Drosophila melanogaster: one gene and its partner. The protein of the gene in region 1 interacts with the protein of each later gene in a pairwise test. Each region holds a gene or a part of one and is shown on either strand. Other genes may lie near its edges.

Evidence for each region.
Region 2: the proteins of nht (region 1) and Taf12L interact in a two-hybrid assay, tested with the Drosophila melanogaster proteins (one study listed by BioGRID).

Annotation. Positions count from the first base shown.
Region 1 is NT_033779.5:15,317,322-15,320,696, reverse strand, and holds nht (no hitter), read left to right. Parts: upstream 1-1,795; 5' UTR 1,796-1,850; coding exon 1,851-2,588; 3' UTR 2,589-2,743; downstream 2,744-3,375.
Region 2 is NT_033779.5:4,700,256-4,703,565, reverse strand, and holds Taf12L (TBP-associated factor 30kD subunit alpha-2), read left to right. Parts: upstream 1-2,080; 5' UTR 2,081-2,097; coding exon 2,098-2,289; intron 2,290-2,349; coding exon 2,350-2,574; 3' UTR 2,575-2,731; downstream 2,732-3,310.

The DNA.
Region 1 (3,375 bases):
AAGTCTTTCTCCCGTCTCCCAGCGTCGTGTTCGCATTTTTTATTTCCATCTTCCATCTTTCGGAAAGGCCAATGCTTCCACTTCTTCAATCGATTTGAGTTTTATTATCTGGTTGGCATTTTAGTTGAATTGTTAGCTTAGTTTATGCGGCTGGCATTCGGACGTTTTCCCGGCCATGTGTGTACATATGATGATGATGATGCAAGGCGCATGGAATTGGCATATAACCAGGCTATGAAGAGGGAGAGACTAGGCAATATAGGCTGAAAATTGAAAGATATTACCTTGCATTCTATAACCACATTTTACTGCACTCGATTTCAAAGTAAAGTCCACAATAAAACATATATTCCAAATATAAATAAATGAAGGTGGTAGAGTTCTTTCTCTATGCAAAATATAGGATACCTTCCGACCAGGATATTGCACCTTGCACTTAAGTTAAACTCTAATGACACCATTGACCCACCCGCAGGAGTATATAGCCTACCCCTATAAGTAGAACTAGGGAGGGCTGGAAATTTACAAACTAAAAAACCTAAACAGGTAATTAGGTCAACGCTGCGCCGAGTGTCGCCGGCACGCGTAATGAACCTGTTCGGAAGTTAAGCCAAGTTGAGTTAGCCGACAAAGAGACACATCGCCGTGCATTTCTAATAAATTTCTAGCCGGGCCGAACGACGTCAAAACAACACGCGTCTTGCTCCTGGAAATGTCAGGTAACGTGGCAATTAAAAATGCGGCCCAACACTCCCCTGTGTGTGTGTGTGTGTATGTGTGTGTGGCTACGATGATCTTTCGGGCCAGAAGTTCAGTGGTGCACGGAAATGTGCGGGACACGGCGACAGGAGTTGGTAAGCGGGCGACTGTCGCGCGCCGCTGTCTTAACTAATATCCGCTCACCCCGAACCTGGCGACGGACTCGAGGCTTTGCGTCTACGACGGAGGCACCGAGGCCATCAGACCGCCTCCATTTGAATAATTAGGCGCTCGTGCCCGTCGAACGTCGCCAGTCGCCCGAGAAGGCCCACTTGCATTCCTGTGCACTTTGCATATCGTGTCCTGCGCCTGCCCATGCCACGTTTTCCTCCAACTCATTCCGCTCCTGTTGCTGGGCATTGAACAGGAACAAGTGCTTAGCTAGGATCGAGTTAGTGGGCCATAGAGGGCACTCAGAAAAATACTAATTGAGTTACGAATATGAAAGTCACTAGATGGAGTATTCCTAATGCAGATTATTCCATTCATTTATAGGAGGTTATAATGTTTTCCTCAGGGTTTATGTAAAGCTATCCATGTGCAATTAACAGCCTACGATGGAAACCCTAAAAATGGAGTTACCTGGCACTGTTATACTATAACATTGAAATGTAATTTCTTTTTTTATTTATAAAGCGAGTTAATGTAAATTATTTCAGTGCAGGAAAATGTTGCGGTCAACAGTCCACGAGGGGTGGGTGCACTCAAGCGGGGTAGACCGGCATATGTTTCCATGGAGGTGTTGCTGATGACTCGTGGCAGCACCACCACTAGCACCTGGCTGGGTGGCGTTGGTTAAGGGCTGTATAGGAATTTGAATGTCCAGCTGATGCATATTGCAGTCGAGAATCTAAATAGCACCTTACTCAAAAGTTTGATAATTATAAATATAATATAACAGGGCTACTACTTATTTCAAAGTCTCTAACAGTTTTTTTTTTTTTCAATTATAATGTACTTAGCTGAAAGGCAGTAACCCTAAAATGTTACCGTTTTTGACAACAGCAGCTGTAAAGCTTATTCAGTTTGACATATCGAAATTTTCACAGCAAAAAAGTGAAGCCTCGCGCAGTTTGTGAATTATATTCGTGATGTCAATTATTTCCCTTGAAGTTCCTATTCAGCCGTATGCTGGTCAGCTGCTCATCATCAATGATCTGATTCTGCCGGACTCAGGCTCTCAGGATGCAAGCAAGGCAAAAGTCTCCATAAAGAAAAATCAACGTGCATCCTTCTTTGACCGCAGCAGTATCTACAAAAAGATAATGAAGCACTTGTCCCAGGGCAACCAGGCGGATGATATCAACATTTCCGAGCAAGAATGGCTCCTGGATTCTTTTTTGGCCGCCTTGGAGACCTACATGAAACATGTGGTCAAGAAGACTATCGAATTGTGCGAGCATCGAACAAGCTATCATCTGCACAACGACGAACGTTGTGTGATGAAGAACGATATGAGGGTCACGATGATGTTCCTCAACGATCTCGAGATTGCCGACTATGGATCATCGGATGACGAGACCGGCTTTTATCGCAAGCGCCGGGCAGAGAACATCGACGAGGAGAGAAAGGTGGCTCGTCTGGAATCGGTGAATGATACGGCCTTGCTAGCCATCTCCGGTCGAAAGCGCCCGGGAGAACAACTAGCCCCAGAATCTGCTCCAAGTGGTTCGAAAGTCGCCAAATTGACCGGTGCTCCGATCCAGCGAGCATGTGCTCCGCGATTTAAGCATATGAACATCAGGGATGTACTGCAGTTTATGGAGGAGGACAGACGATACGCCCGGTCCAACATGCTCTTCGAAGCATATTTAAAATACAAGTCATAATTATGTAATTATAAGGATTTTCCAATACAGAATATCCGTTTTTATTCAGCACATTAAAATGAGAATGCATTCAAATGAATAACTATTTAAAATTAGTGTATCAGAAAACTTTTAAAAAATGCTATGAAATAAATCTAATTCACATGTGCAAATGCATTTCTAGAATATTTTCTTAACATTTTTACTATACGTATGATATTCAAAGGCATGTGTTTTTAGGCAACCAATTCCTGTATAATTTTGTTTGCCTCCCTGCATGCGCGTTACGATTTCAATTGCAGCAATCGCAGTTCGATGAACTTCCTTCTCGCGTAAATCCCCAAATGGAAACCCAAATGAAAGCCCAAGGAAACAGGTGGTGTTTATCCGTATCCTTTGTTCGGCTGCACTTGGCATTCAATGGATCCCTTGCTCCGTGCACTTTGAACTTTTGTGCTGCACTGCCACAGACGGATGACAATGGAGCGGGGCACTCAAAGGAATATCCGGCGAGACAGGAAGCATATGCGCACTGGAATCGAGTATCGAGCACATTGCGCATGCGCCGCGCGATAGGAAACGTGATTTTATCGGGGCGGCTCATTATGTTAAGTGCTGGCAATAAAATCAAAGCGCACGCGGCGACACATTTCATTGAACTTCAATTGAAGCCGTTCCCCAAGTCTGCTTACTCACGTAAGATTTTTTTTGTTTGTTTTTGGGACATGACCGAGGATCGTGCTAGGAACCTTCTAAGGTGGGGAGCATTAATTTCCATGTAATTGTGGGCATTTGAAAGGGGTTAGTG
Region 2 (3,310 bases), about 11 Mb from region 1:
CCTAAGAATGCGTGGCTGTTTCATTTGTGTGTGGGAAATCCTGAACAACAGAATGTCATAATCATGTGAAATAAAACCATTCCAAATGGCAGCCAGCCAGTAACTGCGAGTGCATAGAACATGCTGACTGGCTGAGAATTAGCCCCTCAGTCTCGACACTCTGCCAGACATGGCAGAAACTCATTAGCCTTATTACACAGACACCATTCTGCGGCTAAAACTGAGGGGGCGGAACCGGGCGTAGCCCCCACATGCGTATTAACTATTCATGCCCACACACACACTCATTCACTTTCTCTCGCGCCGCAAAGACATTTGAATAATTTTGACAAATGTGTGATTAATTCAAACATTTTGGCAACTAAGGCTGTCATTTTTTATGTGAGCACGACAGCAAATTAGCACTTCATATACAGGCACTGACTGGCATTCTCGTTACGGATATGATATGTGCCATTAGAACGCAACATGAAGGCTGAAACAACTTCTTTTTGAGTCGTGGTTTTATTAAAGGAAGGGAACAAGCATGTTGATTAAATTTAGAATAAAGAAAATGTGTAAAATATATATATTCGCCATAAGACTTAGATGACAATTAACCTTTCCGAACCAGCCAAGTCCTCTTCAAGTCCCCACAATGACTGCCTGATTGGGGCTTGGGCGATTAAAGACCCTGACAAAGTGAAATTTATGGCACTCAGCACACTTAAAGCTAAACGTCGGCCGTTTTTTGCTGCCTTACACTATGCATAAGGCCAGCGAGCAAAATATGAAACAGAAATCAGCCAGAGAAGGCAGAAATGAGCGGACAGGGGCAGAAAAGTGCACACAGCAAATAGAAGCGGCAATATAAAAGAGTCGCATGCCGGAAACGACAAACGACAGTCGGCGGTGGGAGGTAGAAAGAGGAAGCCTAATGCCAATGCCAAACACCGGATGCGGATGTGTGACACATGGCCGAAGGGGCGACCTGGCCACCCCATCATACCAATCCCTTTCCACCGACGACGACTGGCAACATACGCACAATGTCATTGTCGCTCGCTTTAAGTAGGCGACTTTATTAAGCCGAGGACACTGAGGAGCACCTCCAAAGTGGCAGGAGCGCAGCAAAGGCACATGGCACACCATTTTAGAATGACAAAAACGGGCACTGTGGCACCGGTTTAAGCATCTTAAATTTGAATATTAGTTATTATTAATTACAATATACAAGATCATGTTTTTTCCATTAGAAGTAGATGTGAATATTAAGAAGAGCTTCCTTTTTCAATGGTGTTTAAATTAAGATTATTTACGTTTAAGCCCCTCACTAGGCATATAAATTATAGCCGCACGTTTAAATCAGTTTTCCGAGTTGGCTTAAGTTGCAGCCTGAATTCTGAAACCCGAAGCTCCCAAGGTGGCCTTAAATTTGCGCGGTGCTTCGCTGAAGCGAAATTCCCACTGTGCATTAAGGGTTTGCAAAAAGAACAAACGGCATAATAGGCTGGCAGGACACCTGGGCACGTGTGTGCTGTTGTTTTGACTGGCCTTGCCAGTACTCACCTGGCATAAAATTAAGCCATGACGACGCGCTTGTCGCCTGGCCTGGCTTCTTATTCCGGGGCAAAGGTCGTTTACGGCACGGCCACAATTTGTTGCTTTTTGATATTTATTTAGACGGCGCTGGCGCATGAGAAGTGAAAAGCGCACAGCCCAGTCGGAACATAAATCAAAAGCAGAAGACGGCGGAAAAACCGTGAAGGAAAAGCCGCAGCGGAAAGGGTAAACGCTGCGGCAACAATGGAAATCGTTTTCAGCTGCAGAGCTTGCGACTTAAACTGGTTATTTATGGCAGGCCAAGGGCGAAGAGTTGAGGCTGCAAAGCCCAGCTGGGTTTTCCCGATCCAAACTATTGCCGGGTAAAAAATTGAGAGAAAGTGTAATGTCCCACGACACCAAGAAAAAACTTTTTGCTTTTTGAAGAAAGACACAGGACCCGAAAAGTATGCATTAGCTCACACCTTATGTTCCTATAATTTCCAACCAGTTCAAGCCACTTTCTTACCTAGTGCATGTGGCATTAACGGGAAAGGACATTAAATTAATTGAATCATGGATAGTAACATGGAACCTTGGTCCTTTGCCCTCAATTTCGATGACAGCGATAAATCGTCGGATAACGAGAGCCACTCTTCGACCAGATCCTCGAGCCGCTCCAGTGACACCAGCATAGACACCAGCTCCGTGGAGAAGGAGCCAGCTAGCGTAATTGAGAGCCAGTCTGTCCCTGGCGGAAGCTACGATGTACGTAACGACTTCCCCAATTAGGACGCATTAATCGATCCGTACTTTTCCCCCTATCAGATTATCTCCAAGACCAACATGCTGCAATTTGTGCAGAAAATCGATGCAAATTCATCGCTGGACGATCAAGGTTGCGATATGATGGCCAGAATAGCCGATGCCTTTGTTAACGACATATCCATGCGCATAGTTAAGTTGGCCAAGTATCGAAAGAGCGACGTTAGCGTGCTGGACCTGAAGTTCATCCTCAAGCGGGAGTTCAACATGGAGTTCCCAATTGAATAAATGTCCAATAAAGGGAAAAATAATGTAGAATTTGAAAATTGTGGAATGAATAAAATGTATGAATAACTTGGTTTAAAACTGTCAGAAAGGCAACAAGAATAATTGTTTTCTGCACCTAATTACCAATGTTAACCAGTGCAATTACTTTTTGGTCAATAAAAAAAATTTTATTTTTGGGTCAGTTTTGCATTTTTTATAAGGGGTACCATCATCAAAATTTGCAAAAATTGGCAAAAAATTAAAATTTCCAAATTGGAATGCCAATTGATTTGGGGATAAAATACAAGCTAAACGAGGTATGGCATTCCATATTTGGACAATTGTTTTAAGATTTATGATGAAAAAACTGAATATATTTGGGCGAAAAATCAAAAAGGTCTCTTTTGGCAAAAACGCAATATTTAAGAGTGGTATTTTCTTCACAACTCGCCTAAAAATAGTCAGATAAGTACAGGAATAACTGTTTTCTGCACCTAATTACCAATAGCAACAATTGCTATTACTTTTTGGTCAATAAAAAAAATTTTATTTTTGGGTCAGTTTTTGCATTTTTTATACCATCATCAAATTTTGCAAAAATTGGCAAAAAATTAAAATTGCCAAGTTTGAATGCCAATCGATTTGGGGATAAAATACAAGCTCAACGAGGTATGGCATTCCATATTTGGACAATTATTTTAAGTTTTATGATAAAAAAAAGGCCTCCTTTTAGACTGAAAAACGTGTTTTGCCAAAA